Struthio camelus: one gene and its partners. The protein of the gene in region 3 purifies or fractionates together with the protein of the main gene of each other region. This does not show direct contact. Links are inferred from orthologs where the notes say so. Each region holds a gene or a part of one and is shown on either strand. Other genes may lie near its edges.

What was found. The genes of interacting proteins can lie anywhere in the genome.
Region 1: the proteins of BCORL1 (region 3) and YAF2 purify together in Homo sapiens (affinity purification with mass spectrometry; 5 studies listed by BioGRID and IntAct, counting the BioPlex papers as one, with this or other methods). This does not show direct contact. The link is inferred for Struthio camelus from reciprocal best matches to the Homo sapiens genes BCORL1 and YAF2.
Region 2: the proteins of BCORL1 (region 3) and SKP1 purify together in Homo sapiens (affinity purification with mass spectrometry; 3 studies listed by BioGRID and IntAct, with this or other methods). This does not show direct contact. The link is inferred for Struthio camelus from reciprocal best matches to the Homo sapiens genes BCORL1 and SKP1.

What each region holds. Positions count from the first base shown.
Region 1 is NC_090942.1:33,985,227-33,992,123, forward strand, and holds the start of YAF2 (YY1-associated factor 2), read right to left. Parts: upstream 3,005-6,897; 5' UTR 2,788-3,004; coding exon 2,762-2,787; intron 2,664-2,761; coding exon 2,472-2,663; intron 1-2,471. UniProt on the Homo sapiens protein: Binds to MYC and inhibits MYC-mediated transactivation. Also binds to MYCN and enhances MYCN-dependent transcriptional activation. Increases calpain 2-mediated proteolysis of YY1 in vitro.
Region 2 is NC_090954.1:3,872,857-3,880,409, forward strand, and holds the start of SKP1 (S-phase kinase-associated protein 1), read right to left. Parts: upstream 3,005-7,553; 5' UTR 2,741-3,004; intron 2,094-2,740; 5' UTR 2,037-2,093; intron 42-2,036; coding exon 1-41. UniProt on the Homo sapiens protein: Essential component of the SCF (SKP1-CUL1-F-box protein) ubiquitin ligase complex, which mediates the ubiquitination of proteins involved in cell cycle progression, signal transduction and transcription.
Region 3 is NC_090952.1:1,778,307-1,786,092, forward strand, and holds the start of BCORL1 (BCL-6 corepressor-like protein 1), read right to left. Parts: upstream 3,018-7,786; 5' UTR 2,850-3,017; intron 1-2,849. UniProt on the Homo sapiens protein: Transcriptional corepressor. May specifically inhibit gene expression when recruited to promoter regions by sequence-specific DNA-binding proteins such as BCL6.

The DNA.
Region 1 (6,897 bases), on a different chromosome or scaffold from region 3:
CCTGAAAATACTTCCTACAAAGTTAATTGTACATGATTAGTATGAAAACTACAACTGTTTTAATCAATGTTACAACTGATTTCCAGTGGCTTTCAAAAATATTCATCTTCACTACAATTGCCTGCTTTTCCACACATCCACATTTGGTGGATTTTAACATTCAGAAGCAGACATTAAGTCCATTACAAAGAAACAGGCTTCTCTGAACTGGGGAAAAAAAAAAAAAAAAGTGTTCTGTAGTGTCTTATAGATAAAGTTCTCATCAGTTAAAAAAATGCAGTAGAAATTTTGAATTAAGAATCAATGCACACTAAGAACTCTGTGGAGGCATCAGCTTAATCCATATAAACATTAAATTTAAAAATGGTAGGCTGGAAAAAATTAATTCCCATCTAAACTCCACAGCGTTGCTATTTTGAACAACATTGACGAAAAACACTTCATTGCACAGGCAATATGAGCAAATGTTTTAACAGGGACCCAATTTGGTTTTTTGGACTCCAGCTCCTTTTAAAAAAAGTCCACCCAAATGGTCTTTAAGGTGCCAGGGAGACACAAATGATTCTCTCCAGAGACACAAAGGTCTACTTACTAGCTCAAATCTAGTTTCAGATTTGGAGCTTAAAATTGCCTGGTCTAAAACCACAACCTGTATTTATCTCATGCCATGTGTAAATCCTGGGCTTTGCACACATGTGAAAATGTGACCCATTTAAACCTTACAAGAAAAAAAAAAAAACATAAACCTAGTCAGCTACACATTTGTTGCGGAGTTTGAGTAGAAAAATAAAAATCAACGCACCAGCTAAAACTCTGCGTACGAGAACATTGTGGGGGAGGAAAGAGACACCAAAATTCAAGCTCTATATTTTGCTCCCAAAACATTCAAGAGGAAAAGGCCAACTGGTTTATCTACTTATTTATTCCGAAGATTTTTAAGTTTTAGTGCTTTTATCTCACTGAGTTCCCAGTGGGACAAAACACTATCTTAAACTGACTTTGCCAATGCAACTGAGTAGTGTTTAAAAAAAGGTTGTTACTCGCATCTCTGCTGTTTTAAAGATTTTGCATTCACTCTTTCAGCAGTGTTATTCTGTTGAATATTATCGATCCATACAGACCTATCCATGACACAAACGCAAAGCCAGTCTTGACATAAACCATGCTATATGTGACAGATACAGTTCCTCTTAGCACATTTATCTCACCGATTCCCTTATTATTAAAAAAAAAAAAAAAACAAAAATCAACAAGCATTCAAGACTAAGTTATCAGAAGTACTTTGGACATTCATTCAGGTTTTCAGAAGTCTAGGAAATAGGTGTTAGAAATAAAGCAGAATCTTACTTGTAAAATAATTTGACTTAACTTTGCACTTTTGATTTTAAACATACATTTGTTGCAATTCATATTCCATATTGCTTTGAATGATATTTAGAACGTAATTGCTGTTTTTGATAGGATTGCAACTTTTATTGCCACTTAAACTTCTCTTGCTGACAGGATTAGCCAATAGGTATGATAATCACCACAAAGGATTCTTTAATAATATTCTGTCAGCACACAAAGACTACAAGTGCAGTCCTGTTGGTTTTATAAAAATCCTCCATTCCCCAAGCGCGTCCATTTAGGCCATATTATTGAACAATACAGATACACATGGGAACCAGTTAATTCACTGCAAGCTTTCAAATGGGTGCTACAGAAAAAAAGGCCCTTCCTGGGAAGTCACTGATTTTTCAGGGTGCCACTTCCACACGGCACAACTCAGCCCATTCACAATTCCTTTTGAAACAGCCAAGAGTCACTATCCATCTCTACAGCCACCAAAATCTGCATGGTGGAGCAAAATAGCTCTGTGGATGAAAGCAAGCAGCCGGTTGGGGGGGGTGAAGAGGAGGGGGGTATAAATGACATTTTAGGGAGACGAAGTTAAACTCCTTAGAAGAAGAAAAAAGAGATATTAATTCAGGTGAGGGTTTTAACCAACCAACCATGCCCCAGCAGGGGGGGGGGGGGGGGATGGCTCTTCCCTTCTGCGAGGGGCACGGCCTTGCAAATGTTTGGGCTGTACAGACTATTATTTTTTTGGCTGTTGTTTTTATTATTATTATTTTTCGCTCCTCTCCCGGCAGTTACAGCGCGGTAACCTCGGGGAGGAGACACGGTTACACCACCCTCTCTCCAGTCAGTAAATCTCATCGGGCCGCAGTCCACGCACGGAGGAGCGGGGCCTGCCTGGGGTCATGTTTAGTGGGGAGCCCCGGGCTGGGGGCGGGGGGGGGGGTCGCAGCGAGACGAAGTCTCGCTGCGACCCCCCCCCCCCGCCCCCAGCCCGGGGCTCCCCGCTAAACGTGACCTCATTCCTGTCACAGCCGGTCTCCCTCACGGCGCGGGGTGGCCGGGGGGAGGAGGGGGGAGCCCGGCCAACGGCTCCCCGCGTGGCGTGGCGCGGCGCGGCGGGCACTCACCGTGTGGAGGTGCCCTTCCTCACGTCGCACATCATGCACTTGAAGGCCTCGGCGCTGTTGCGGAAGGTGCAGACGCTGCAGTCCCAGTAACCCTCGTCCGAGGAGGGTTTCGGCTGCCGCTTCGGCCTGCGGAGACATACGCACACAGCGGGGCCGGGGGGGGGGGGTGGAAAAGGGGGGGGGGAGAGAAACCTACCGCCGTCACGCCGGCCCCGCCGCCGCCGCCTCCCCCGGGAGCGCCCCGCCGGCCGCCATCTCTCCGCGGTACCGGGCCCCGGCGCTGCCCCTACCTGGTCGGGCTCTTCTTGTCTCCCATGCCGGCTCCAGACGCGTCCCCCCGGCGCGGCGCGGCCCGGCGCGGCCCTTTGTGTATTTGTCAATAAGGAGGAGCGCGGGGGGCGCTTGTCTCTAGCGGGGACCCGGGGGGGAGGAGGAGGAGGAGGAGGAGGAGCCGCCGCCGCAACCTCCAGCTGTCGGGGAAACTCCTGCCGCCGCCGCCGCCGCTGCTGCCCCCTCCCCCCTCACGTGTCCCCCCGCCGCCAACCAGCGGCCGCCCGCAGGCCGCGGCGCCCGGCGGGCCGCGCGCGGCGGCAGGTTCGCAACGGCCGGTGGCGGCCGGGCGGCGGCGGCGGAGGGACCGGGCGCCGCGGGGGCTGCTGGGGGCGCCGCCGGCGGGAGGGGCCGCGGCATGGCGGCGGGGGGGGGGGGGGGGCGTGCTGAGGGCCGGGCCCGGCGGCGGCCGCTGCCATTGTCCCGCGGGGCGCCCGGCCGCCTGGTGGCACATGGCGGCGGCGGTGTTGGGGTAGGCCGGGCGCGGCGCGGTCCGCCGCCGCCCCGCCGCCCTTCCCGGCGGCGCCGTGCTGCTCCGCAGGGTTTGCGGCCCAGGCCGCGGGCCGCCGGCGGGTGCGGAGCGGGCAAGGGCCGGCGAGCGGCGGGGGCACGGCGCTGTGGCGGGCGGGCGGCCGGGCCTCGCTGCGGGAAGGGGCGGCGGCGGCGGCGGGGCTCTGCCCGTCGGGGAGACGCGAGGGAGCGTCCCGGGCCAAATCAGGAGCGATGCGGCATTCGCGTGTTTTCGTGCCGGCCGGCGCTGCTTTCCCGCTGAGACCGCGTTTCTGTTAGCACAGAATAACGTTTGCAATAACGTCTCGTTTGCCTCGTTCTCCTTTCCAGAGAAATTTTTGCCGGGCCGTGCTTTGGTTTAAGGAGGGAAAGGAGATAAAATGAATGCTTCGTGGGGGTCTGCTTAGAAACCACGCAGGCCAGTGAGGCACAGGGAGAATGTGATAGGTGCTGATACAAAATCAGAAGATAACGGTGTTATCTAGTATCCACATGTAATGCTTGGCCTTTGTACTTAAAAGTGCAGAAGTACAACGTGGTTCACATGCAACACAGTAACATGAAACAAAACACTATTATTTGTTACCTGTGTTACAGCAGTGCACAGGAGCCCCAGTCACGGAGTAGGATGCCATTTTGCAAGATGCTGTACAAACAGAACAAAGAGCACATGTCCTAAGTACGTAACAAAAGGCAGCAGTCAGATACAGGTAGATGGCAGAGTACTGGCAGACAACGGGATGATATTGGTCAGCATCACAGTGATCAGAGCAATTTTTGCTGCATAGCCTTTGTCAAGGAACAACAGGATTTCAAGGAGAACAAAATGTGCCTGAGGGGAGCTTTGCCTAAGTGTGTGGAAAAGCATAACTGAAGGTGTAGAGCTCTTTGAAAATTTAGTAAGTAGACAATGGAGAAACTTTCTGATTCTGGAGCCAAAGTTCTCCAAAAGGATTTCAGCGAGAAATAGTGGTATATAACGAAGGAAAGGAAAATGTAGGTCAAGTGCTTGACGTTATCTCCTGAGGGAACCCACAAAAGCCCAGCGAAACGTCCTGTTATTTGGAACACTGACATTTATGTAGAGGTATTGCTACTGCCCAGTTTCCTGACCTCTCTCCAGCAATCCTGTACACCAGCAATTTCGAGCCTGCATAGTATTTCCTACTTGGTGGCTGGTCGCGTATCCTAATTTCCTTCCACGTCTATATCCTGCTACCAGTATTGTCATGTTCTCTGCTTTCGGTTTTCTTAGCTAATTGGTTTCCCTTGCCTTTCTCTTTCTTTGCCTTTCCCAATTTCATTCGTTCTTCTATTTTTATGCTACTCTTAGGACCTGGTGTGAATTGCAAACACACTGTAGGGACTGCACCTCTGGGGGTGGGCCAAGCCTGAGACAGCCAGTTGGAAAGGGATTCATTAAGTTGGACACCTGTAGGAAGTAGCCACCCAGATCCAAACCCAACAGGGAGAAATAAGCACCTACAGAAGGTAATTCAAGCAGATGATTTTCTCACTTTTGGAGACCATTTCTCTCCATTGACTATGAAGAGAGCTTTGCGCAAATATTTCGGAACTGGACACTGGTCTTTAAAAATCTAGAATTACATGAGATGACTTTCACCACTCCTTGAATCTCACTCTACGTAGAAAGCTTTAAACAGGAAGCAGTGGAGAAACCTGCCTCCTTGTGCCCTTTTACATATTGCACTCTCTCTACTGCATAAAAAAACATATTATTTCTCCACTTTCAGAAGACAATTATTTTGAAACAACCTCTTTCTCCTGACCTTTCCTCTGTCACAGCATACTTTTCCCATACGGATTATAAGAAACAAAACAAAACTTCCATTGATGGTTGCAAAACACTGGGATATGTTGTAATCCCTCAGGAACTATTCTTGGAGAGAACCACTTCTAATCAGCAGGGAGAATCATAACTGCCAACCACAAATGTTATCCCTAACAGCCGAGTAATCTTTCCAATTGTAGCATTCCAGCCCTTCTGCTGCATGGACATCACCCAAACCACTCTGCTTAAAGATCATGATGTTTCCCCAGCAGCACTGGGCCTGTTTCCCACTGAAATCCCAACTAATCCTTGTTTTAGGAGCTTAAATGTGATTCAGTAGGGCATCAAGAGATCAAGTAGATGGGCCATGGTGCCTTCTCTGTGCAATGATGAGTCTTGTTTTTTAATAACTCTGAAGAGGAAAGAAATGTCATTTTTCTCATGCCTTGTTCTATCTACAAACAGGAACAAAAGTAAACACCCGTGAAAGCACTAAGCCCCCAATGTTGACACCACAGTTAAAAGATCAGTGGTTTGTGATAGGACCAGGTGGCATTGAAGGGCTGGGCAAGGGAAGGATAATTGCTCCATGCAGTGTTTTCAATTCGTAAGAGATTATGAAGAAAGCTGCACTAAGCAACTCCAAGCAAATCCTGAACTTAGTCCAGTAACAGGACACTACCCTGGGATACACAACATGTACCACATTACTGACAAGTCTGGGTGAGACAATACCCGTGTTCCCCTGAGAACTGCATTTCTTTCTCCTCTGGAAAATACTGACTTTTCTCCATTTACGGAATCGTGTTTTATTTCTGAAATAGATTATCTAAGCCAACGCTTCTGTCTTCAGAAGAACATCTTTTACCAATAATGCAGAAAAACACACCAAAGAGGTGTGTATAATAGTTAAATGCTTAATCAAGAGAGTATTTCAAAGAGACAATAATGTTCCTAGGACTTTGGTACAAAGTGACAAAGCTGGGGACTTCCATAACCAGACCTGACATCTGGTGATCCCCATATGAACACACAAAACTTAAACTTGTCTTCTGTTAAATATTTATATGGTGTGTTACCTGGATAGTTTGTGTGACAGAGTTGATGAAATCAGTATCAGTTGTCTTAAAAAAATGTTTCATGGAAGGAGAAGGAATAACTTTAATCTTCATTTTAAATTCCCTTAGTTTTAAGTTTGATTTTGTCTAAAGTGGGGTTATTCCAGAATAGTTATTTACACCCTATTTTAATTCAGCTGACCTTCGAAAGTAAACACATCTTTAAGATAGAAGGAATGTGCAATATGTTTGCCTCTCACTAAGTGCATCACGGATTCACTCTCTAGTTAGGATATGGTCTTATACTCCTCTCTTAAAATTGACATTTTTTTAGCATTGTTCTAGGGCAACACTCATGATAGGATTATGGTATTTAATATAATATTATGCTGATAGCTTCATGAAAGTTAAAGATATTCTCTGTATCTCATGGTATAAATGTTCTGGCATGCATGACTTCTCAGTTAAAACTTTATTCATATGAAAGAGGACGTGAAAGGAAACAGTGGCTATTTCTGAGTATCTTCTTGTGTGAAAATTCTTATCCAGAGGGGATTACTATTATTCCTAAGGAAAGTATGCACCTACGAGGTTATTTAAGACCAGACTATTGCTGTGTGAATCCATATGAAGACTTGCCAGTCATTTAGTCAACAATTGAACCATTGTTGAGCACATGAAACCTATGCCAGTTACTGCACTGTCAGTATCTTCATCAATTATATAACCACTTTGG
Region 2 (7,553 bases), on a different chromosome or scaffold from region 3:
AAAATTTCTCCATCTGAACTCTGCAGTTTAATTGAAGGCATCTACAAGAGAAGGACAGTTATTTTCACACAATATTCTGCAGACACATTACCATGCAAAGATTAGCTGCCTTAAAGCTGTAAGTTACCTTTAATATTTATACTGCTTCTTACTTACAGCAAGCAGTCCACTGTCACTCACGCATGCTCAGACTATTCACTGTTTGGATCAACAGGGCTAAATTCACTAAACCTGATGTTTAAGAAATTAATAGAAAGAAGTCTAACATTAATTCAAACAAGCCTCTCTCAAATTTAAAAGCACGAGAGAGCCATAAAATGGATTAGCATCAATAACGCTTATACTTTTGCGGTCCAACACTAGAGCTATCTTTCTCTTGAATTAACGTGGCACAAACACTTCCAAAACACCACTTGTTTTCACATCCAAACAATTGGTACTCATCATAACTAACTGAAGTCAGATCCAAAAGCAGTTTTCAATTTCTAGCTCTTGGAACTAAGTCACAGAATACTCAATGTTGGAAAGAACCTCTGGAGATGGGCTAGACTCCCCACACCTCCGCTCAAAGCGGGGTCAACTGACCAGTTACTCAGGATTGAACAATTCTCCCTCAGAAAAAAGCTTGGCTTTCTGAGGAGATTAAAAACAAAGCAAACATACACACAATATACCACCATAAGGAAGGCTTTCAGCACCTTACACTACTCTTTCAAAGTAGGAAGTTGCATCAGCACCTTGTTAGCATTAAGAACTATTAAGACGAGTAAGTATTTTAACAAAGTTTTTTGGAACAAACAGTGATACAAACTACTATACAAACAGCAGCAGACTTTAAAGATTATGCCATCAATAAACCAATAGTCAAGTTTTCCTAAAATGCATCTTTCCAGATACTCAACAACTCAAAAACAGAACTAAGGGACTTGATACAATAGTTACTAGGTTACAACTTCTGCCTGAAGCTACACATAGAAGTCTAATTGGGGATCACTGCACTTCAATCAACTGACATGAAGGACCCAGATAAACACAACTGCCTGGTTGCAAAAAGTTTTATAAATCAGATCTTGACAGGCTACTGGGATGAGTGTTATAATGCATTCCTTTACCATTCAAAACACTTCTTAGCAGCAGACCATTACAATGATTTAGTTTTCTCACAAGCTATTTGCTTTAAAAAAAAAACCACCTCTAAAGCATACATTTATAGGTGCAGCCTGCAACTAATTTTTAAAGAAAAATTCTAGGGACAAAGAATTATCATTTTCACACATTCTCCCTCTGCCCGGCTGAACATCTACACATGCTAGCTCCTTAAAGTGGTAACCTGAACTACTGAAACCGAAGGAAGCCGCACTACTTTCAGCTAACTCATGTTATCCCTTTTTAAGGGCCTTCTGTAGCTCCTCAGTACTGCTGAGCTGGGCAGTACTGCAACAAACCAAGGCCAATGGAGGCCAGCCAACATACGTTATTAAGCAGCTCACACCAGCTTGAAGTCCTCACTGCTTTAATTTCCATTTGGCAGAGCCACTAGCTAGTTAATGTTTATACAGTAATGTAACCTTATATGACAGTGCTACTTCTAATTAAGATGATGTGTGTTTTGGAGGGACACAGTCATGGCTGTTCCTTTTATATATACACATATATATTTATGTATATAATATACACACATATAAAATTAGGATTAAAACATGGTCGTGAGTTTCTGGCTTGAAGGATGCTCTGAAAAAGACATACAACTGCACATTTCAGATTTAACATCTGTTCTTGCAGCGACAGGCTAAGAGCACTCAAGAACAAATCTAGTTTGATATACGAGCTTTCTTAGGCTCGTGGTATCTAGGATTACATAATGCTGCACAACTGAGCCAGTAAGAGAGTGATGCTATCTCAGGAAATTTCACCCCCATGAGAATATTCGCATTAAGACTCTCGTTAGGGACCTGAATCAGGTAGAATGAAGCTAGCCTACTGCTTTTTTAACCCGTAACAGGTAAGGCCTTTATCTAAATTTTATTATTTCTTACCACAGAGCAGAGTCTACTGGAAGAAAATAGTCCTTTTTAACGAACTGCAATACAACTCTGGAAACAGATAGGCCACAGATAACAACACAATAGGGTGACTAAGCAGACCAGTCCCAAAAGCTGTATCTGACAGCATCAAAACACGCCGGGAGCCGGTCAAGAGACAAACCCCAATTACAGCGGCAACCGGCAGGCATAAGCCCGAAACGCAGAGCCCAGCCCTCTACAACAGCGCGACTGGGCAACTGCACGCCTCGCGAAGCTGTTCAGGATGCGTGCCCGGTCCCCCCCAACCCCTCCGTGCCGCTAGGTGAAACGCCGCGGCTATTTCCTAAAGCCACGTCCGAGACCCTCGGCTCGCGTTTCAGCTGCGCCAGAGACACCTCCGCGCGCCACGAAGGGGGGCTCGGGGCCGCCCGAGGAGCCCCAGGTGTGTGGGGGGGGGGGGAGGAGGAGAACAGGGGCACCTGCGCGGCCGGGGAGGGGCAAGGCCCGGCGGCGCCGCTCCCCCGCGCTTCCCTGAGGGCCCCGCAGCCCCGGGCCGGGGGGAGGGGGGGAAAGCTCACGCCGCCGCCGCCGCCGCCCAGGCCCTCAGCGGCCCCTGGGAGCACCGCGGCCGCTCTCCACCGGGCGGCCCGCACCGGGCCGGGCCCAGGCGGCTCCCATCAGCGGGCAGAGCCCCTCCCCGCGCCCGCAGGCCTCACCGTGAGGCGGCGGTGGCGGCGTCCGGCTCCGCGCTGAGCGAGACCTGGCGGCGGCGGCGGCGCTCCCGACCCGACTGCGGCGGCGCTTTTATGTGGCGGCGGGGGAGGGGTGCGGGAGGGAGGGGGCGAAGGACCCGCCTCCCGCTGCCTCGCAACCGCCGGGCTGCCCGCACCGGCCGCCTGAACAAAACCTCCCCGCTTTTGCTCCCGCACCGCGCAAAGAGGGGCTGCAAACAGAAGCGGGCCCGCGCCGCTTCCTTCGGGAGTGGGGAGGGCCCAACCGGAGCGGAAAGGAAGCGAGGAGGAGAGGGCGCGGGCCGGCGGGTCTTTCAGGCAGGCGGGCGGCCGCGCCAGGAGCCTCACAATAGGCCGCGGGGGCCTCGCGCGGGCCCAACGGCCGCAGCGCCCCTCCCCCCCGGCGGGGCCGCCCCCGCGTCCCTGAGGCGCCGCCGCGCCCCGGCCCGGCCCCGGGGCAGAGGGGCACCGGGAGGTGCGGGGAGCAGGCCGGGCTCCGTGCGCCAAGCGGCCTCGGCTCCGCGCCGTGCCCGGAGCGCTCGCGTCGCTTCACGGCGAGCGGCGGCTCCAAACGGGCCGCGGGGGGCAGGCGCGGCGGCCGCGCACCTCCGCGGCGCCCTGTGCGTTGCTTGTGCTTAAAAGGAGCAGCTCAGAGTCGTCCCAACCCTTCCCTCCCCCCCCCCCCCCAAATCTTTGGGTATTTTCGTGCCACTGGAGTTTCCTAACGAGAAAGTTGACAAACACAGCGCAAATACCACAGCAAGGGTGGCTTGAAGTCAAGAATTACGTGTGGTTAGCTCTCTGTTAATCGTCTTCGCGTTTCCCCTGCAAAAGCCATGACATGCGATCTTCAGTGGCCGCTCAGGGAAGCGGCGCGAGGCGCTTTGAGCTGAAAATTGCACCGAAAACCACGGAGCCCAGTGAAGGACCTGCAGAAACCGAAGCTGAGCAAGGAGCCGGTGTGCAGAGACGAGGGCTCAGGCCTATGTAAATACAGCAAAAGCGGTGCTCTGTTAGCGCAACAGCAAACCTCAGCTGTGTACCCCGACACAGGTAAGATTTTCTAAAAGGGCGAGGGAGGAATACGTGCCAGAGTGACAGGTATTAGGTTTTGAGGAAAAGAGCAGGCTGAAGTTTTTCCCTCAGCAGGGACAGCAGACAGAGGTACCCCCTCCAAGGTACCTGGAGTGGTTAGCCTGGGTGCAGCATCGCACTGCCACAGACCGTATTTGTGCCACCCCGGAGTGGCTTTTAAGTGGTCGAGATTGTCACAAACAGGGTCTGACTGTGCAACCCTGTGCTTTATTCCAAATCTTTGTTGATGTTTTTAGAACATGAGTATGCTTTCACAGCACTGCAGCATATACATCTCCAGTCTACCTGTAAGCAAAGTGGTAGCACCAGCACTGCGTTGCACTGCCGAGCACAAACACACCGTAAGTCACAGCTTGCCCTTTTCTCAGGGGCCCAGGTTACGTGCCACACTTTATTAAACAAAAAACAGTACTACTCACCAGAAAATACCTTCTAACCTAATAAACTAAAGAATTTCCTGGGAATTTAGAAACGCTCAGTTCGAGAGCTTGCTTGCAGACTTGAATCCACAGCCCAGGGTAGCAGCCCAGCCCCTAAGATACTCAGTCTTCTTTCCTTTCTTTGAGATGTGCAGCTTTGTATAAATTAACAAGGGACTTAACCGGACTTAACCTTTAGTCTTCTACTTTCACCGGAGTGACAGAACCAGTGAGAATGCAACTATTAGAAGTATTTAATCCAAAACCAGGAGCAGGTTCACTTTACACAGAGAGCCTCGATAGTGTTCCTCGGAGCCTGCTGGTTAGGGCTTGCCTCTCCAGAGAGGTGGGAGACTCAGGATTATGGATTCTCAACCAAAAAAAACCTCTTAGGGCTCAGAGGACAATTCTACATTGTGTCATATCATTCAAATAGGTTTTTAATAGTTCCTTGGAATTTTATAGAGAGAAGACTGCTTATTTTGAGAATCTTGTATGACAGGCTTCAGGATGCCGAGCAGCTCATTAGTTGTGGAGCACTTGAAGATGACTGAGCAACCTGATCTAACTCTCAAGATGGATCTAAATTCAGAGTTAACCCTGCTTTGAGCAGGAGCCTGGTCCAGAGGACCTCCAGTGGTCTCTTCTGACCTAAATTATGCTATGCTTCTCTGAAGTGTACTTCCTACCAGCTGGCTGAGCATCTGAAAGTATCAGGTGATGCTTATATATAGGAGACTTTTGATACTAACAGAGGCTCCTCAAGATCCTGGTGTTGGTAACTAGACAATCTGTTAACCATTCACTAGGACCTAATTATCTAAAAAAAGGAAGCCTCCGATCTGTGACCTTTTGATTATACCATATTTTCCTCTTTCCTCCTCAGTCACTCCATCTTGTACACCAACCCTGAAAACTACATTCACTGCATTAAAAATAACACTGCCTTTATTTCCCCCTTGCTTGTTCTTTTTTATTTACATTAAAACAGCTTGGCTAAGAGGATCAGATGACAGAAGGTGGTCTGCGGGCAACATATCTGCAAAAGCAATAATCCTAAATCCCTTTTCCTGCTGCTGCCAAAGATCAAGGTTTCCAATTTGGCTTGTGATCAGTAACTATGAGCTCACTCTCAGACTGGGAATCAGATTCCGTAGAGGGGAATGGGGGTTGCTCTCTACAGAAGAGGAATCTAAATAAGTCTCGGAGCAGGCAGAAAGCTAAATTCCATGCTTACTTATGATCTGCGAATGAGTTATAAATTTAGAGTGATACTGGTGATGACATGCTTTATATTTGATCCACCTGTTCTAAAGATGTAACAGAGAAAATTCAGTCCACAGTGGACTTTGAATTTAGCTGTTGAATTAGAAGTATGGGAAAGTTACAACAAAAACACCACACCCCCTGCAACTGGCATAAGATTGTCATAGATATATTATGATCACACTGACAGCTACCTCCCCACTGTGCCCTACATATCTCATAATGAACCTCCCAAGCTAGTCTAGATGCTCATTATCTTTGCCCTGAAACAGAAGCTGCTGCAGAGTTGATAGCCAAAGTCCTATGAGTAAGTCAATATTAGTAACACAAAAAGACCCATCCTTCACTAAACCTGCAAGGCAAAGAAGGAGATTTTTCAGAAGATGGGTGTACCAATTTCAATTGTTACACACATAGGTAATCTTTCCAGTGCAAATAATCCTGAACCGAAGATTTGCCATTCGGAGCCATATAGATAATCTTACTCCGTATCAGCCACAGATAAATTAAAAGTAAGGGCCTTTTACCACAGAGAATCCAGAGGAGGAAGGGGGGTGGGGGGAGCTTAACCCTAATGCAAATACCTGAAAAGACTGCAGCAACCAAGATCAGTGTAAGCTTGATTTAACGCTTATCAGATCCAGAAGAGCTCTGACCTACATACTTGCAGCATCACTGGGCTGCAGGCAGAAGCTAGCTGAATAGCTGCACAACTGTAGGGGGAAGGGAATTTTCACCAACACACTGGCAAAAACATGGCATTAGAGACCCGAGTGCAGCCTCCAGGACAGAGCACTGGATTTACTCCCAGAACTTGGATTCTATTCCCGGCTATTTCTCTTGCCTCTTAGGTAAAAGAGACTGTTCCCCCAGCCCAAGTGCCTCACGGTCTCCATTTCTGCAGGCAGAGAAGCTGATTTTTGTTGCTGGCGATTCACAATCTATGGAGATCACACACTGTAAAAAGACAGAGTATTTTTAATATTAGAAGTGTGCCACAGGATTGGCAAAGCCTGAGAATCAGGCTTGAAAGACTTCTGTATTTTGTTCCATCGGTAACAAGCTTGAAAATTTCATGGACCTCAGTTAGGAAATCCTGAGGATAAGGCAGCCCTGCAAAGACTGAACTCAAGGGTCCAGAGAGCACAGTTCTGGCATAGAGAGCTAGGTGCTAGAAAACAAGGGAGAAGGTTGGAGCTAAACAAGAACCTCATCTGCACACAGGGGAGATGAGACTTGCAGCAAAAACACTCCTTTTGAAGAATGTTTTTGAAAGCGAGCAGGCATATCAATAAGGCAAGGAAAATTAGGACTAGTTCACTGTAAAAACAGAAAACATCACAATTATTCGTCTGAGATAATATGGTAGAAAGATAGCGCTGGGGCTCAAAGACACATGCCACTGTTCAAAGCAACCTTGCAACAAGCAGCCAAACAAGGAAACAATTCTTGCCCCCACTACCACTCTAGAACACTCCTGAAGTATCTCCACTTCATCAAAAACTGTACGACAGTAGCATCTTAAGAATGTAGTGCTTTTCATCCAAGTTGTACCAGAGCAGTGCAAGACATTGGATACAGTGGGAGATGGGAGTCCACTTTTTAGATGAGAGTCTAATCTGACAGCGATAGACTGACAACATTCAAAATAACTAAATTACGTCAAGCGGAGATCAACTGTTTTTTTTAATCAGCTTCTGGTTTTCCAGCATCACTTATATTCTTCCCCCTTGTATACTACAAGAATTCAAGATGTAGAAGACTATATATGAAGTATAGAAGAATAAAGATAGAAAACAAAATTGGTGAAATACAGAAACAAACCTATCGTAAAGGTACCTGCAGCACCTTTCTAACCTCATCCTCAGTGCACCTTCAGATACTTCAAACATACTGGGTTTTGTTCCCTTTTTGCCCTAGTATCCATTGAAATAATTTCAACTGCACAGAACGAGTCAAACTCGGATCCCTGTAGTTGTTATGGCTGCAATAAACACCGAGGAAGATGCTACCATGGC
Region 3 (7,786 bases):
ACAGGCAAGAAATTATATTTGTTTTTGTATGTGATCATCAAGCGTCCATGTGAGGTACAGAGGTCCAGCCTGAGTGCAAAAGCGGAGAACTTCCTAAGATGTCTTAGCAGGATTCAGCCCCGCACAGTGTTTCTGACAACCCCTTTAAAGTGAATGGCTGGGGGAGGAGGGGAGTGGTAATCAAGATGATCCTCTCACAGGACTCACTATGGATCTCAAATGCAGCCAGAGAGAAATCTAAAAACATACAAAATAAACCTTTTTTTTTCCCCCCAGGTATCACGTTACTCCTCACGTAGAGGTCTGAAGTTATAGCAGCAACAAGGAACACTTAAGCCTGTAACCAAATTCAGCCATCAAGAAGCCAGACCATGTCTACCACACACTTCTGCGGAAGCTGTTACGATGCAATGGATTTGGCCTTTGGCTTGTATGGCAGTCCTAATCTCAGTTTGGGTTTCCCTCTTTGCTACACCGAAACCCCTGGCTGTTGCTGTGCTGAGCCAGGCTTTGCCTACATATATTTGCTTAAGCTGATTTAAAGACACAGTAACACTATAAGTAATTATAGATACTCAGCATGATGCGCTGAAAAGAGAGGAAAAGAAAAAAAAAAATCATCTCCGTTTAAAATAGCAAAGTTCGCTGCACATTCGGTAGTCTTTTAATAATAAGTCTTAGCTGCTGGACAAGTTGTGTCGCTAGTCCCTCAGTCATTCAGGAAAATCAGATAGAAAAGGCTGTGCCCATGAAAGCCCCTTAGAGCAAATCTGTAAGGAATAATAAAAAAAAAGGGATGCAACTAAGGGCAGACCTGTCTAAAAATTTTCATGTCTGAAAAGCCTCATATCATGCAAAGTACTACGACTGGAATGCAGGTTGCCATTCCCTAGGAGACAAGAGGTATACCAGAACACAGAGGTCCCAGCTGCAGTTTCCTTCTGAGGGCCAGACTACACGAGATGCAGCTTTCTCAGCTGTTCCCAGAAGTGTATCTTCAGAATCAGGCAGCAAAACCATTGCCACTAGATCTGTACAGGCACCATGCAGTCCTTAGCCCTGTACTGGCACCAGGACCCGTTAGATCTAGACGCTGGTGACAGTGACGAAAACGCAGGGCAGAGAAGAAAAAGCTAATGCAGACACGGCAAAAAAACCTCAAAGCTGCAAAGGAAGCTGGACGCGTAAGCCTTTTGCTCCTGCCGATCCCTGTTCAGTTTGGCGGTATCCAGCAAGAACAATGGTCCTCAGAAGCAGATTCTCTGGAAAGAGGAGAAACTTACTTCATCTTGATTTTAACCTACGAAACCTTCTTGAGGTGCTTTTCTAAACTGGTTCCAGCCACAATCAAATCGAGGTGAGGTATGGAAACAGCTCACGGAGGAACCTGCAATAAACCTGCCAAGCACTGACACTAAGTCGAAGGACGCTTTAGGTTTCCCCCCCAGCGAGGCCAGGGGCGGCAGAAAGCGCCTCGTCTCTGGTCTTGCTGCTGCCTATATTCACCTAGGACGCAAGGAGCGAGGGGGACCTGGCCCGGACCCTCGCAGCACCCCACGGCGGCCTCTGGCCGAAGCAGAGCGCGGGCGGTGCCGGCCCAGGGGCAAAGCCACCCGCACGCCCCAGGGCCACCGTGCCTCCAGCTTCCTCCGCGGCCTCAGCCAGGAGCTGGGCGCCGCCGCCGGGACTACCGGCCCGCCGGGCCCGCGTGGGCCGGGGCTCGGGGCGCGCACCCTCCGAGCCCCGCTCCCACTGAGCGGCCGCCGCCAGGCCGCCTCCCGGGAGCCCCGCGGCTCCTCGGCCCCGGCCCGCCCGCGGCCCGCTGCCCTGCGGGGGCAGGCAGCGCCGAGCCCCGGGCAGGCGGCTCGCCCCGCCGCCCCGGCAGCTGCAGCGGCCGCGGCGCCGAGCCCCGACGCACCGGAGCCCTGCTTCGCACAAGGCCCCGCGCCGCGGCCCCGGCGCCGCCGTTGCGCGCCCCGGCCGCCGGGCACTGCCCGGGCTCAACAGTTGGCCCGGCCGCCCCGCGGGCAGCCCCGGGCCGCGCTCCGCCGCGCCGCCTCCGGCGCTCGCCCCGCCGCCGCGGGCAGGGCCGCCGGGGCCGCGCGCAGCCCCGCGGGGCCGGGCCGACGTACCGGGGCAGCCCCGAATATGGAGCTGGCGGCGGCGGCGCTGCCCCCGGGGAGGGCTCTTCCGCGATCGACCGGAGCCCTGCCGGCCGGGACGGGAGTTTCTGCCGGGCACAGCCGCCCCCAGCCAGAGCAGGCGCCGGAGCAGGCATGGGCCACGCCGCGAAACTCCGGGAGCGCCCGGCGCCGCCGTCCCGCCGCTCTCCGCCAAGGCACCGGGTGCGCTGCGCTCCGGCGCGCCCCGCCCCGCCTCGCCGAGGCGCCCCGGGACCCCCCGCACCGCCCCGGGAGCGGCAGGTGCCGCCGCCGGTGCCGCCGCCGCCGCCGCCGCCGCCGCCGCGCGAGGCGAGGCAGCGGCACGCGGCGCCCGTCGCGGGGCAGCGAGCGGAGCCCGCCGCCGCCGCCCGCCGCGGGCGCCCCCGGCCCCGGCCGCTGTCACTGCCCGCGGTCCCCGCCCGCCCGCCCTCCGCTGTCCCGCTCCAGGACGCTGCCCCCCCGCCCCGCCGCGCCGCCCCGCGCCGCGCCGCCCCGCAGCGCCGCCCGCCCGGGGGTGTCCCGGGACCCGTTTCCATGGAGACCCCGGCCGGCTGGGCGGAGGGTCGGGCCGCCCGCTCCGTCCGCCTCCCCTCGGTGGTGGGTGCGGGGCGAACGGGCCCGGGGTGCCCGGGCAGCGGGGCCGGGTGTCCGGAGCGCAGCGGCGGGCCAGGGGGGGAGGGCACGCACCTGTTTCCCGAGCCAGGCGGGCGGCGGGGGGCGGCGGGCCGAGGCGGGCCCCTGCCCGAGGCGGCGGGTCGGACACTGGGCGCTGCGAGCGGCGGTTCGGCGGCGGCGGAGACACTGGCAGCGGCAGCCGGAGTGTGAGGGCGAGAGCGAGCCGCCGCCGCGGGGCCTGACGGGAAGTGTAGTCCGGCCGCCGCGCCCCGCCGGCTGCCCCGCCGCCTCGCGGACTACAGCTCCCGGCGCGCCGCGCGGCCAGCCCTGCCCGCACGGAGGGGGGGGCTGTGCAGAGCCAGCCGAGTCCGGAGAGGGAACGAGCGGGAGGGAGGGGGCTCCGCACCCGGCACAGCCCGGGGGAGGGGGCGCGGGAGGGGAGGTCGCTCCCCGCCTGGGGAGGGGCCGCCTGTCCGCGGCGCTCCGCGCCCCGCGCGGCGCGGACGGCACCTCCGGGCGGCGCGGCGCGGCGAGGCGCGGGGGGAGCCCCGCGCATACACACGCACACAACACACACGCACACAACACACACACACACACACACACGCACACGCACACGCACGACCCCGAGCCGGGGCGCCGGGGCACCGGCGCCCGCACCCGGGGCGGGCAGCCGGGCTCCACACCCAGAGGGAGGAGGGCGGCGGGCGCTCCACGCCCGGCCAGTGGGCTCGGCGCCCGGGCGCGCGCTGCGCTGGACGGGCAGCCTGGCGGCACCGCCGGGCAGCGGCGGAGAGGCGGGCGACGGCACCGCGCACCTCGAGGTGCCCGCGGCCGGGCGCGGCGAGGGGACGTGCCCCGCGCCGCCCGGGCAGCGCGGCGCAGCGCGGCCGAGCCGAGCCGCGCTGGCGGCGCGGGGCACGGGCGGAGCGGCGCGGAGGCGCTGACCCTCCCGCCGCGCTGCCCGCACGCCGCCGGGCCGACGTGGGCCCGCGGCGGGGGAGCGGGCCGAGCACGGGCCCCCGCCCCTGCGGAGGGCGGTGGGAGGCGGACATGGCGCTCGGTGCCCTCCCGCGCCGAGCCCCCCGCCTAGGCCGGGGCGCGCCCGGGAGCGGGCAGCGCCATGGGGGCGGCCCGGGCCCCGGGGCCCCCCTCCCCCGCGCCACGCGGGGCACGGCGCGGCGGGCTGGAAGTTTCTCAGCGGCCGCCAGCCGGCCCCCGCCCGGGGCACGGAGCTCGCAGGCCCCGCCACCGCCGCGTCGCCTCGCGGTGCCCGGCGCGGCGGGGCCCAGCCCGCGGCCGGGCCGGGCCGAGCGGGGGGCGCCGCTGGCAGTGCCCTGCCGCGCCGCCCCCGGCCTGCTCCCACCCGGCCGCGGCGCCGGGCCCGCCCCGCTCCGCCCCGGCCCCGGCCCCGGCCCCGGCCCCGGCCCCGGCCCCGGCCCCGGCCCCGGCTGCCGCGGCGAGTGACAGCCTCGCCTGGCCCCGGGGCTGCGCCGCCTCGGCCCCCGCCCTCAGGGCGGCCCGCCGGGCCCGCGCCCCTGGGACCGGGCCGCGACTCCGCGCCGCGCCGGTGCCCGCGCCCCTCCACGGCCGCCTGGGCCCGTGCGGCCCCCGAGCGCCCCTCGAGCCAGCCCTGCGCCGGGCCCCTCACCCAGCACTGGCAGTTCCCGGCGCCGGCCCGGGTGGCAGGGCGCCGGCGCGGGGCTGCCTCGGGGGGCACTCGGGGACCAGGGACGCCCAGTTGTGCCGGGCTGTGGACAGGGCGCCTCCGAGCCGCGGGGCAGGCAGCCTGCGCCGTGGCGGCCCCTCCCGCCTCGCCGTGGCGGGCCCTGGCAGCGGCGGGATCCCTTGCCCGGGCTGTGAGCCTCTCCCAGGTGCTGCCGCAGTGCTGTCCCCTCCCCAGCCTGTCCCCTGCAGGCCCTGGCCCTCGCAGACCCTGGCCCCCCGGCCCTGTCCACGCTGTGCAGTGCTGGCGCGCGTGCCTCTGCTGGCGTTACCCACCTGGGATATGGAGTGCCCCGCAGCCTGAGGCAGAGGTGGGCCATGCTCGAGGTCCCCCTGCTCCTCTTTCCGCTGCCCCGATGTCCCTGCCAGCGCCTCGCTCTGTACCTGTGGGCCTGTCGTGCCTGCCTCAACTGCTTCCCCCGGGGAGGCTGTGATGTTCAGCACCCTGGCCTTCCCTTCGCCCTGGGCCTATGGCCCTTCCTTCAGCCCTCCCTGCTGCTCCTCTCCTGTGGGTCCTCTGCGCGATGGGGTGCCTGTCCCACCCAGGGTGACCCTTCAGCAGCCCCACGCAGCCCCGGCCCCTGGGCTGCGTGCATGTCTGCCGGCGGTTGGGCTGTGTGATGGGAGGCGAGGTGAGGGACAGTGCTGTTGCTGGCTGCTCCCCCCCAAACGCAGATGTTAGCTCTGCAGAAGAAGCATCCACAGAGGAGGAGGGAAAAGGCTGAATTCTTCTTTTAAAGCTAACTTCAAGGAGGCAGCTGCATCTTGTAGCAAAGGTAATCTGGAGAGGGAGCGTGCAGATACAGGCTCGCCCCAGGAGCTACAGGGCACACCAAGGGCAAAGGCAGGGCCCCATCCTGCCGTGAGGGCGAGCAGGGAGCAGGGCAGCGGGGTCTCCGTGCCGCCTGCGAATGGCCGAAGCGCTGCTGGCTGGGGCTTCTGCCGTGTGTCCGTGGCCCTGCCTGAAGGGCGGTGGGCAGCGGCGGAGCGCGGCATGGCGCTGCCCGCCGGGCAGCTGGGCCAACTGTTGAGCCCGGGCAGTGCCCGGCGGCCGGGGTGCACAGTGGTGGCGCTGGGGCCGGGCGCGCGGGGAGCCGGCGCGGGGCCTTGTGCGCAGCCGGGCTCCGGTGTGCCAGGGTGAGGGTGCTGCCGGTGTGGCAGGGCCCAGGGCGGCGGAGCGAGCCGCCTGCCCGGGGCTCGGCGCTGCCTGCCCCCGCAGGGCAGCGGGCCGCGGGCGGGCCGGGGCCGAGGAGCCGCGGGGCTCCCGGGAGGCGGCCTGGCGGCGGCCGCTCAGTGGGAGCGGGGCTCGGAGGGTGCGCGCCCCGAGCCCCGGCCCACGCGGGCCCGGCGGGCCGGTAGTCCCGGCGGCGGCGCCCAGCTCCTGGCTGAGGCCGCGGAGGAAGCTGGAGGCACGGTGGCCCTGGGGCGTGCGGGTGGCTTTGCCCCTGGGCCGGCACCGCCCGCGCTCTGCTTCGGCCAGAGGCCGCCGTGGGGTGCTGCGAGGGTCCGGGCCAGGCCTCTTCTCATGCCCGCGGGGTCTGTGTTGCTTTGAGCCCCTTTGGTGTGTTGCCGCTCTAAGCAGTCTGTTTTGGGAAACAGGATGGCCACTCTCTTCAGTGTTATCCTCCCGCTCTGAGGGCCACCCTGGGGCCACCCTTAGTGGCTGGGTGGTGACTCCCGGGGTGCCTCACTCCAAAACAGTGTTTCCCTTTGGGTGCCATGCCACACACTGCTTGCTGAAGTCCGGGCTTCTTGTTTCTACTCGTGCACATCCAGTCTGGCTCAGGTATCTGCTTGCGCTGCTGTGTCCCTGGCAGTCCTGATTCGGCCTATGCAGACAGCAAACTCTCTTTTTCCATTCGATATGTATGACAGCCAAGGGATTTAGAAACCAAACAGGACAAAGGGATGGATTTACCCCCAAAGGACTGGGGGTAACCGTGGTGTCCTCTGAACTAGCACATCTGGGCTTGCACGTGTATACTTTGGTCGTATGATAGACAAATGACCATGCTGCCATTTGGCGCCGCTGTCCGTGTCATGGCTGCACTGGCACCCCAGGCAGAGGTGTCCTCAGGAGTCTCCCATCATGAGCCCTGTGCTCAGAAGGAGCTGCAAGTCTTCCCTCCTGAGTGAGCTTCCCTTATTTTTTTTTTTTCCTGCAGACAATGCACCTAAAGAAGAAGAAGAAAAATGAAAGAATGAATGAAACTAGTTTTCTACAGGCTGGCAGAAAGGTCATGATTGTTGGATGGTGGATTGGATTCGAAGAGATGGTGACTTGCCTTTCAGAAGGTACGGGTCTGCTCTGAGCGCGTGCCTTGGTTCGCCTGTGTCTGGGCAAGATGCTGGTGCTGAGTGCACAGGGTGTTCAAGGATGGTAGTGGTGAGGCTTGGAAATTGCAGGCAGCAATGCAAACTATAACAGAATAAAATGCAAAGAGATTGCAGCACTAGGAGAAAGTGGATAGCAAGAGCTTAATGGGAATTGGCAGAGCACGGGTTTTTTTCCCACTGGGCAGCCTAACCTGGGAGGCCCCAGTTGTGTGGTGCTGGGCACCCAAGGCCAGTGCTGTCCTATGCTAGCCCTGCCCTCTCAGCTGATTATTTCCATGCAAAATTCCCGTTGCTCTGAGCACGTTTTTTATGCCAAGGGCTCACAGATTTCCTTGTGGCCAAGGAGCGAACCACAAAGGCTTATGGAGGAAGCCAGTATGGGCAAGTCAGGCACTAGAAAAGGGGGCAGGTGAGGCCTCAGGGCTGGTTTTTGGTGTTCAGGAGGGGACCTTGAGGGAGGGAACTTTTCCTGCAGATGGGAATTATTTCAATTTCTCCAGCATATCAGCACCCTCCTACCCACCAGTCTGTTCTACCTGTCGCCTCGAGCCTTGCAGCCAGGCAGTGGCTGGCATCAGTGTAAAGCCAGCCGTCCAGCTCTGCTGTCTGCCAGGGTGCAGAGCAGCACAGGGCTGCTCTGTCACCCTCTGTCACGCCAAAGCTCAGCAAGGTGGGCACGCAGGTTCCAGCGGCTCTGCAAGGGCATCGGCTCCCATCGTGCGGGGACCTCGTTCCCTGGCACCTTCACTCCAATTTTAAGTGAGGTGCAACTCCTGCAGTGCCGTGTCCCATTGCTTGACATCTAGTAGAGGATGAAAAACGTGGTTGCGCGGTACTGGAACCTGATGGCCAGCCATAGAGAATGGTGAAAGAGATGTTGCAAAGGATGGACAAATCATTAGGAAGCCCTTCTATTACACTGCTTGCCTGTGTAATAGAAGCACAAA